Canis lupus familiaris: one gene and its partners. The protein of the gene in region 1 purifies or fractionates together with the protein of each later gene. This does not show direct contact. Links are inferred from orthologs where the notes say so. Each region holds a gene or a part of one and is shown on either strand. Other genes may lie near its edges. The genes, in order: BPTF, SMARCA1 and HMGXB4.

The links.
Region 2: the proteins of BPTF (region 1) and SMARCA1 purify together in Homo sapiens (affinity purification with mass spectrometry; 4 studies listed by BioGRID and IntAct, with this or other methods). This does not show direct contact. The link is inferred for Canis lupus familiaris from reciprocal best matches to the Homo sapiens genes BPTF and SMARCA1.
Region 3: the proteins of BPTF (region 1) and HMGXB4 fractionate together in Homo sapiens (co-fractionation; 3 studies listed by BioGRID, with this or other methods). This does not show direct contact. The link is inferred for Canis lupus familiaris from reciprocal best matches to the Homo sapiens genes BPTF and HMGXB4.

The regions. Positions count from the first base shown.
Region 1 is NC_049230.1:14,276,283-14,279,938, forward strand, and holds part of BPTF (nucleosome-remodeling factor subunit BPTF), read left to right. Parts: coding exon 1-118; intron 119-3,113; coding exon 3,114-3,293; intron 3,294-3,656. UniProt on the Homo sapiens protein: Regulatory subunit of the ATP-dependent NURF-1 and NURF-5 ISWI chromatin remodeling complexes, which form ordered nucleosome arrays on chromatin and facilitate access to DNA during DNA-templated processes such as DNA replication, transcription, and repair.
Region 2 is NC_049260.1:101,628,134-101,631,789, reverse strand, and holds part of SMARCA1 (probable global transcription activator SNF2L1), read left to right. Parts: intron 1-1,888; coding exon 1,889-2,055; intron 2,056-2,366; coding exon 2,367-2,467; intron 2,468-2,569; coding exon 2,570-2,670; intron 2,671-3,656.
Region 3 is NC_049231.1:29,825,017-29,828,672, reverse strand, and holds the end of HMGXB4 (HMG domain-containing protein 4), read left to right. Parts: intron 1-474; coding exon 475-597; intron 598-1,056; coding exon 1,057-1,101; 3' UTR 1,102-1,192; intron 1,193-1,535; 3' UTR 1,536-3,216; downstream 3,217-3,656. UniProt on the Homo sapiens protein: Negatively regulates Wnt/beta-catenin signaling during development.

The DNA of each region.
Region 1 (3,656 bases):
GAATACAGAGTAACAGGATATGGTGGTTGGAGCTGGATTAGTAAAACTCATGTTTATAGGTTTGTTCCTAAGTTGCCAGGCAATACTAATGTGAATTACAGAAAATCATTAGAAGGAAGTAAGTAATTGAAGTTATTTTTTCTATATCATAATTTCTGATTTTGTACTATTTCTTATAAATTTGTAGTGCATTGACCATATTTTTGGATAAAAGTATTTTTCTGGAATTTTTAATAGAACATGCAAAACTACCGATGTAGCTTATTTATTAATAAGAAGCTCAAATACTTTAAATTACTTTTTTTTTCAGGATATTTATAACTAGGATTTCAATTAAAGAAAGATGATAGAATAGAACTTCCTAAAAAAAAGAAAAAGAAAAAAGGCCTCAGCACCTAATTGTTTTTCTACAATCTTAAATTCAGTATTACTTGACTTCCTAAGGAACCACCTATCTGGTAATCTTGATGTTGTAGCACATTACAAAACCAGAAAGGAGGTGATAGAGACTTCTGTAAACACTTCCACATAAATGAGGGAGATATTAACTCCATTTGTGCTACTCGCTAACAACTAATATATTTAGAGTCACAGAATTCTAGAGGGGAACTGCCCTATTAAGACACCATCTGTTTTGAAACTCACATTCCATGAGTAGATTATTTCATGAAGATGTGAAGTTATGTACAGTTCACACAGATAGAACTCTGGAATCTGTCTCCTCGCTCCCACTGTCCCTCCCACTGTCCTTTTTTGCACTCTACATTGCCATCACTTTTTTGTTACCTGGTTATTTTCAAAAGCAGTTCTGCTCACTGTGCAGTGTAATTTGCTAACGTATGGTGTGATGTGTTCTTTCCTATGAAGTCTACGCTATAGTGAGTACTGTGTACATACCTAGCTAACTAATTTGGCTTCTTCGTGAATGGTTCTGCTGAATCCTGGACTGGTTGAGATATTTGAAATTATTGATGTGATAAAGTTATCATTTTGGATTACCTTTTTAATGGAAAAATACTTATTATTTCATAACTGTCACTGGAATTTATAGGGACTAGGAATGTCTTGCACATAATAGATGCTCAGTGAATTGTTCTATTTGCCAACTAGAACTATTCAATATTAAATTTTATTATTGTGATCTGATTATATTCAAGCCAAATGTCCACTATAATAAATTCTAAAAGATTAACATTTTTTATTGCCATTTTGTTGCTCCAGCTACCCACATAGCACATAGAATTATAGAGAGCTTTTGTTTAATTATATCTGACTTATTTTGTCTTGTGTAATAAAATCCAGATTATCAATAAGCAAAATATTTAGGTTTTTGCAGATTTATCTCATATCCACTTTCCTTAGCATACTGTTTCTATTGTCCAAATTCTGGGCCTTTATCCAGTCAGGTACCAAGTTGGTCTTACAACATCTTTTGAGCCCTTTTCCTCTCCAGTGGTAGCAATGCATGTGTTAGTATAGAATAAGAATTACAGTGAAGGCATTAGTATTCGTAACCACCAGTTTATAATCTCAGAACTATTGGTCCCTATAATAATGATTAACCTAATCTGATCATATGACAGAGGCACAGATGTGCTGGAGAAAACAGAAATGCGTTTCAGGGAACCTTGACTTAGCATCAGAAGACTAGAGTGTTCAGCTTGTTTGACTGCGTCACTTATTTCTAACCTCCATTCTAACTCAGACTGAATGCCTTAGCTTATTAGTTTACAAGTGTCAATAAAGGTACTGATGTGCAAGATTAACAAAGGATATTAATTGTCTTTATGTCTAGAAGATCTTTAATGGAGAAGACATCCCAAGTATTTTATAATTGTCTATTTTAAGCATCTGGGTTCTTAAAACTTTTAGGTGGAACTACTATTATATAAAGCTCTTTTTGAGAAACTTGAAATCATTGAAAAAATATTGCCCAGTTGTTCTGAAATAACTAAAGAAGCATTGAATAAGGAGAGTATCAGTTTACTTTTTGTCCTTTTGTTACTTGTGGGGTCCAGACACATCCTATCACTGTTTTCTATGATTCGTTTCTTCTCTCCCCAGTATCCTACTGTCTTGACAGATACCAAGTTTTTTGCACTCTTTTCCCTTCCCTCAGCTAGATCTTTCTGGAAGGAGTCATTTGTTTAAATAAGAAGTAGGTACACATTGCTAAGTCCTTGGAATATTTGGGATCAAGTGAAGAGAATAATAAAAGGTAGAAAATGCCTGTAAGGCCCAAGAAAATTCACCTGGACAATAGTTCTGTATCATGGGCTTGATTTTTTTTTTTTTTTACCTTACGGAAAATTTGAAACTACACGAAAGTAAAAAAGCATCATCTTTCTGTCATTCTCCTATTAGTTGTAATAATCTACTTTTTTTCTGGAGTTTTTTTCCCCCCCTATGTATTTAGAGCAAATTCCAGAAATTATGTTATCTACCAGTTCAGCATATATCTCTGATTGGAGTGGTTATTCCATAAATTATGCCATTACCATTCAACGCACTAACAATATTTAACATGTCCATCTTGAGATTCTCAGTTACTATTCTAGTTACCCCAGTTGTGCCAGAGATGCCCTTTTAATGTTGGTAGTAAATCAGGTCCAGACAAGGCCAAACATTGCATTTGGTTATTTCTCTGAAGTCTCTTTTAATCTATGATAAATACAGTGATTCCCTACCCAGAAAAAAAAAAGTATACAAACAAACCTTTGTAATTAATTTCACTGGCTCTTAGATAGCCTTGAAGTCTATCCATGGACTCTGGGTGAAAAATACTTAAGTATTTATTTTCCTAATATGGTTCTTTAATATAAAGTATGTTAGAAACACTGATGTAGACTTTGTGGAGTCATTGAGCAGCTGAAATAGTGTCATATATGAAAGATCCTGAAGTACATCTAAAATGTGCTCATTCCTCTTATGCTTTAGGTCAGTTGAGCATGTTAGGAAAGTATATACTATCTTCAGGTTTTATATTTTTTTAATAGAAAACAGTATAGATTGCTAGAAATATAATTTCCACTGAACTAGATTTGTTAAAGCAGATTGCTAATGTTCAGAATACCTATAATTATATATATATACACACACTCAATTCTTTTTAGCCAAAAATAATGTGGATGAAAATATGGATGAATCAGATAGACGAAAAAGTCCACGGAGTCCAAAAAAAATAAAAACAGAGCCTGATTCTGAGAAAGGCGAGGTAAAAGATTCAGATGCTGCAAAAGGGGCAGACCAAAGTGAAATGGACGTTTCCAAGATTACTGAGAAGAAGGACCAAGGTAAGGAGAGTCCGGTGTGGAGGGCAGCCTGGGGGTGATAAGATTGTAATGGATCTGGTTCGCACAGCAGGAGAGGTACTGCCTTATGTTTCTTTAATAGCAGCTTTATTGAATCACAGCTCATTTACTATATAACTAACCCATTTAGAATGTACAGTGGTTTTTAGTATTTCACAGAGCTGTTCAGCTGTCACCACAGTCCATTTTAGAACATTTTCACCACCCCAAAAATAAACTTCATACTCCTTAGTACCCAGTTTCTAATCCTCCCTAAATCCCCCCAGCCTACTAGTCTACTTACTGTCTCTATGGATTGGCCCTATTTTGGATATTCTGTATGAATGGAATCACGTAATACATGGT
Region 2 (3,656 bases), on another chromosome or scaffold:
CTTGGGATCTTTCAAAACTAGTGAATTTGGTTAACTCAAAAGAGAAATTAACAGGTAGTTGGAACTGATCTTTTTTTTGAGGGGTTGTTTTTGCAGGAACATTATAAAAATAAGTAGAGATGAAGGATATTTTTTAGTTGTTCATAGTGATTTTACCAAACTCCCTGCCTAAATGTCTAAGGTCACATCTAACGTAGACAGTTAATGTTTTAACAACTCTAAAAACAACATTCCAGTGAGGATAACATAAAATGGAAAGGTTTTGGCCTCCTTCCAGCTTCTGGTCTGAATATATTTGTCTAATTCTTGTGTTTATGTTAATGAACCCTTGTACATTTCTGGTGTTATTAATTATGCATCCTTCATTAGCAATCAAATATTCTCTACCCTGTGGTCAGAAAGTGATTGGGAATTAAAAAATCATTCTCATTTTTTTAAATCTAAAATGATGTATATATCTTTTGACCTTCTAAGGTTTTATAGTGAAGTTTTATTTTATTATTATGGTACAAGTTATATGCCCTTTTACAATTTATTGAGAAATTATTATATGTGCTGCCGAAGTGAGCAGAATTGAGAAATTATAATACATACCAATTTTTAGTAGTTAATATATATTAACTATTATACTTATATGTGTATGTGTATGTTTTTCCCCCAAATCCTGCTTGCTTTGAAGACAAACTTTTTATGTTATTAGCATAAGGTGCAGTTTTCCAGGGGCACCTGGGTGGCTCAGTCAGTTAAGCATCTGACTTTGCCTGACATCATGATATTGGGGCCTAGGGATCAAGCCCCATATTGGGCTCTTTGCTTGGCAGGGATTATGCAAGTCCCTCTGCCCCTCTCCCCACTCTTGTGTGCTCTTTCTCTCTCAAATAAGTAAAATCTTTTTAAAACGTGTGATTTGGGATGCCTGGGTGACTCAGCGGTTGAGCATCTGCCTTTGGCTCAGGGGTCCCAGATTGAGTCCCGCATCAGGCTCCTTGCAGGGAGCCTGTTTCTCCCTCTGCCTGTGTCTCTATCTCTGTGTGTCTCTCATGAATAAAAATCTTTAAATAAATAAAAAAGTGCAATTTTCCAGATCATTGTAATTGAAGAGAGAAATATTTATTACATTATTGTACCATGCATTGACAATATTTATAGACAAGAAGACACTGTATTCTAAGGTGTTAATTGTATCTAGATGCAATTTGAAAAGTCTAAGAGTTCAGTTAATGGTATATGTATATCATAGCTAATAATTTATATTTCTGTATTTAGGATATATCGTATGTTATGATGCTTTATTTTGTTCACTTGGGAGAAGAAAATCATTACATTTTACTTATTTATTTAAAGATTTATTTATTTATTCATGAGAGACACACAGAGAGAGGCAGAAACACAGGCAAAGGGAGAAGCAGGCTCTTCGCAGGAGCCTGATGCGGCGGGACTTGATCCCGGATCCTGGGATCACGACCTGAGCCGAAGACAGCCGTCTAACCGCTGAGCCATCCAGGCATCTCTAAATCATTACGTTTTAGAAAAAGTTTTTGCTTTTTGACCCTGACTCTTTAAGCAGGGTACTTCTTGTTGGGGCATTTACTACTGTTAGATCATTTGGCTTCTATTCAAATTATCTGAAAATGCCATTTTTGAATTCTGCTGTTTACTAGCTATGGGAATTTGGACAAGTTAGTTACTCTCTCCATATTTTACTTTTATCATCTGTAAAATGTAGATAATATTAGTACCTACCTCATAAGTTTATTAAGACCATTAAATGAGTTAATATGTTGAAAGTGTTGAGAACATAGTACAAAGTAAGGGCAATATAAGTATTTGTTAAATAACTTTGAGTAAAAAAGAAAATCATTATTTTTTCTTTTGTTTTGTATGTTAGAAAGCAGACCGAGCAAAGAGATTTGAATTTTTATTAAAGCAGACAGAACTTTTTGCACATTTTATTCAACCTTCAGCACAGAAATCTCCAACCTCTCCTCTGAACATGAAGTTGGGACGTCCTCGAATAAAGAAAGATGACAAGCAAAGCTTAATTTCTGCTGGAGAGTATGTTGGCATCTCTCTCTACTTTATTCCCTCTTTTTTCCCTCCCTTCCTTCTGTCCCCACTTCTCCCTCTCCTCTCATTCCCTCTTTGCTTACTGAGTATAATTTTGTATTAAAAATGGGGTTATTGTCAATGTAAATAAGTTTTGGAGGCAACAATTTTTTCTCACTAGGAATCAGTAAAAATGCAGGCTGGTTCTACCAACTTCTAAGCAAGACCTTAGATAACTCATTTTTTTCATGACAGATATACTGACTTAATTGATAGCTTAGTATTTGAGTTGAGTATAAAGATATTTCTTTTCAATTCAGCTACCGTCACAGGCGCACAGAACAAGAAGAAGATGAAGAGCTCCTCTCAGAGAGTCGGAAAACATCTAATGTCTGTGTTAGATTCGAGGTATCACCTTCATGTAAGTATCTCATTGCGTTGGTGTTTTTTTTCAATTAGGTTTTAGAAAAATATTCTTGATTGTATTTAACAAAAGTATGAAACGTCTTGATCTCTTTTTCAGATGTGAAAGGAGGACCACTGAGAGATTATCAGATTCGAGGGCTGAACTGGTTGATCTCTCTGTATGAAAATGGAGTCAATGGTATCTTGGCAGATGAAATGGTAAGGAGTTGATAGCTAAAAACACAATCTTAGTAATGATTTTTATGTAAATTTGAAATACCTGAGCTGTATTGCCTTAGGCTTAGAGTCTAATTGCTTTATTTAGTTAGAATGTAAAGGGCATTTGTAAACTCTAGAACTGTTTCTTTAAATAACCTTGAGAACATATACTTTCACAGGCTACAAAATTCTTAGTGTGATTTGCTTATAGGTTTAAAAAACCTCCCTGTAATTTTGATTTTGTTTGCACTTTGGCTTCCAGGAAACTCAGAGCCAGAATTAATGCCAAAATCGAGCCCCTGTGGAATGTAATGGCAGGCCCATTGTGTCTTTTGTGCCTTTTTCTATTCTATATCTTCTAATCTTTTCTTGGCCCTTCTTTATTTCTATTTTACCATTAATTTATCTTCCATGTTTTCATTGTAGGCTACCTGAAACATATTTTCTTTGTAGGTGACCTGAAATCCTTTTGGTAGTAAAGTGGGGGTATATAAAGTAAATACTAAATGTGTGAATGAATAAATCGAACAATAAATGATGAAAGCATGAATCAATGAATGTAAGAACCTCAATGCGTGAGCAGTCAGAAAGTGAATAGATAGAATAATGAAAAAAAGTAAAGAGCAATGTTGAGTCCTGATGTAGCATAGTGCCAGATAGAGCCTGAGAAGTAAGCTAAGGAATGATGGTCATATAAATAAAATGACCAAAGAAAGAAAGAAAGGCTATTTAAGATGCTGATTCCACCAGATCAGGGAGTATATGAAGGCTTAGATTGGTATTTTAAGACCAAATGAATAAGATAGGATTTAAGAGAGGGCAGGGGGGCAGTTCTAGATCTTTATGACCCAGTGATATTCATATTTATGTGACTCTGGAGCCATATTTGCTATCACTCTTACCCAGAAGAGCCACATGACTATTTATGTTCTATAACATGTAGTGTAGTAGTTGGTCCCATAGATGCTGGGCAACCGTTAGCTGTG
Region 3 (3,656 bases), on another chromosome or scaffold:
AATTTGAAGTGAACCTGATTCACTTCTTTCTGAGAGTGAACAACTCAACCCAGAAAAGTTGTATCATCAGCTATCAGAAACCACATACGTGGAGAAGTACACATATGTTTACGTTAAATGTTAGCATGTAGGGCTGTAGAACTCTCATAGTTAGCACATTTGAGCTATATTCGTGGAGTTGCACACATGACCTCCACAAATCTTCCCAGGAGCTTTCCAGAGTAGATTGATTTAAGTCATAACCCTTCGTTGCACAGAGGGTAAGATGAGTTAGGAACATAGAAAAGGAACCTGGGAAGGTATTGTAAAAGTTTTCTTTTTAAAGGATTCACAGAGTTATCAAAGCAGATAACTTCCATTTCTGCTGCAAATTGCAGAGAACTAGCAAGACTTAAAAAACAATGTGAAGAAACCAACTCGATCAGGAGTGGGACTCGAGTTACAACCTGCTGTCTCTTCCTGCTCTCCTTTCAGGGCATGGTGGCTGTGTCTGGCAGTTTGTCAGTGCTTCTGGATTCCATTATCTGTGCGCTTGGACCCTTGGCGTGTCTGACCACACAACTACCTGAACTGAACGGCTGTCCCAAACAGGTCTTGGTGAGTTTTCCTTGTTTTCCTTGGATTTTTTTCAGCCAGACCCCTTGGGAGCCGTCGAGGCCCTACCTTAACGAGCTCTATCAGGCACAGGCTTGTAAGGCTTCCCGGCAGATGGCGCCCCCTCTGTATATTGGCCCACGAATGTGGTACTGTACAGTGCCCTCAGTGCAACTAGAAAACAGGCCATTTCCCAAAACAGTCCAGCCCTTAGGGAGCTGCAGCTCCTCTGGTGCCTATCTTCTCCTCTACCCAAAGAAAGTACACAAGTCTTCTGCATCTCCACAAGGGTTCATGGGAAGAGCCAGCAGAGAAGCTCCTAGCATAGTAGACAGCAGTGTGCCAGCTTTTAGCTCACACTGCTCTCTCCAACTCTCAACTCCCTCCTCTGAACAGAGAACTAGGCCTCAGGGAACTAAGGGTAAAGTACTCTTCAGCTAAACCTTTTCCCTTGTTTTGCAGTCAAACACACTAGACAACATTGCTTACATCATGCCTGGACTGTGACCACAAAGAGTCCCGGGACAGAGACCTTATCGTCCTCCATTGCTGGTTTGTGTATATATGACTGTTCCAGATCCTTCACTGGCCTCTGGGTGTAGGTTTTAAATTTTTATATATATACATATAAATATATATATATATATATATATATATAAAGTGTACAATATATACATAGGACTGTAATTACTTTGCTTTTAATAATTTTATGAAATGGCAAAGGTTTAGCCAAGAAGAAACCTTGGCATGAATATGGGCTTGGGATTCCTTTTTCTCCTGTGGTGGATAAATCTGCCTTAAAAATCAATGTAACTTAGGGGCTGGGGGCTTGTTCAGGGTGCCAAGGGCATCTCTTTATGGACAGCTAAAATGTGATTTTTTTCCAAACTCAGTTGTACCTCCAGACCCATCACTGACCATTTGCCTTACCTGTCTTACAGTCGGAAATGTAATAGGAAAGATTATGGGAAGATGCCAGTTGAGTGAACGTACAAAGCCTTTCAACTTGAAGTGACCTAGGTAGGAAGTGATGAAATCATTCCCATCTTACAGTTACTGCAGTGGCTTAGGTGAACTTCGTAGGGGGTTCATTCCAATTCCTGCTATACCGGTGTCCATGTCTCAAAATTTCTTGTAATCATTGGTACCATTAGCAGCCTCAGTAGGGGCCAAGGAGTTATGTGAGCCCCAGCAGCATAAAACACCTTGGAGAGTGTAAAGCTGTTACTGCACAAATTGAACTGCATATATTGTGAGCTGACCCAGAATATTTCATCTGTAGAGCTAACTGCTGGTATCTTCCATCGGCAGCATTAGCTTAGGCACGGAGTCCTCACAGGTTTTTGCTGCTTAGTTGCTTGATGGTTGGGAAAGATGAACTTTGCCCAGCATGATTCTTGGGTTCATCCTGTTGGCTCGCCTGGTGGGCAGATAGATACCCAGTGTTCTGCATTCCACACATAAGTGAATTGCAAAAAAAGTACTCGATTCTCATGTAGGTTTATTTATGTGTGCGTGTGAATGTGTGTTTTAATTATGTGTATTTAACTCTTTAAAATCTCTTTGATTTTAATTTATCCTGTAAATTTCTGTATATATAATTTAATAACAAAAGCCTCCACCAGCAACAGCATGTGGAAGATACAGATTTGTCATTTCTTGCCTCCTCCTTTCCTCTGGTCTCCTCTGAAAACTCCAAATCATCTACATTTTAAGGTATCGTGCCTCAAAAAGGAATCATTATGCCGGGATTCTAATTCTTTCTAATTCAATAATGTCAAGAAAGCAAAATTAAAAGGAATGTTACCATTCCCAACTCCCCACTTTTCCAAAGAACCAGACTTGTGTTTCCCAGTTCCAAAGAAGACAGTTGAGCACTTCAGGGTTGTTTTTCAATTTGGTGTGAGATTCCCTGCCAAAACCGAGCTCTGGTAACTGCTTTCTTCCCCTGGCCTAGACAGAGCACTACCATGTCAAAGTAGATCTTTGAGTACTGAGCAGCCAGCCTGCACCTGACTTAACCCCTTCCCTTCTCCCCACCAGTGTGCTCATGGGGCTTTGTTTCCTGAAGGTACTCTGGCTGCTGACTGGCCCTTAGCTCAGAGCAGTCATGAAGCTTAACTGGGGAAACAGAAGGAAACGGGTATGTTTGGGAACCAAAATCAAGAAGGAGCAGAAAACTGGATTTGATTTCGCTTGTTAGACCCTGTGCCACACCTCATCTGTACCAATGGAAGTTTCCTGTTTGACCCAGGGTCTATCAGGGAGGGGCCTGGAAGACATGGATTAGCATGGAAGAAGTCAGTCCTACCCTTGTCATTTGTGCACATTAATGAAATCCTGATGAGGACCTGCTTTCTGTTTGTTTGTTTTCCTTTCAAACCCAACCCTACTGTATTTGTATTTAAATTTGTACACATTTGTATAATAATCTGTACCTTGTGGTATTTGGTACTATTAGAGGAAAAACTTTGGATTCAGACCTTCTTGGAGTTTTTATATCATTGTTTTATTTTGTTTTTTAAATAAATTCTAGCGGTTTGATCCAAATCCCATTACAGTTGTATAAAGAAATAAAATTTTGTACTTATATTATTAAAAATCACATTTTTAATATTTGTAGTCCAGTCTCAGGTATCTTTTCCCTGTTGCTGACCAAGTTGCTGTGAAATACTAAAACCTGTCATTTTCTACTGATATCCCACTGCGATTTTCTTAAAAAGAAAAATCTGTCTGGAATGAGGCCAAGTTTCTGATCTTAGCCATTTTCCTTTTTAAAAAAAAAAAAGATTTTATGTATTTATTCATGAGAGACACACACAGAGAGAGAGACAGAGACACACAGGCAGAGGGAGAAGCAGGCTCCATGCAGGGAGCCCGATGTGGGGACTGGATCCTCGGATTCCAGGATCACACCCTGGGCCAAAGGCAGGCGCCAAACCACTGAGCCACCCAGGGACCCCCTTAGCCATTTTCCTAACGTACATCTTGCTCTGTCTCTATTAACTTTTACATTGTAGAGTCTCTTACTCTCTTGCAAACTAAAAACCAGTGGCTCTGAT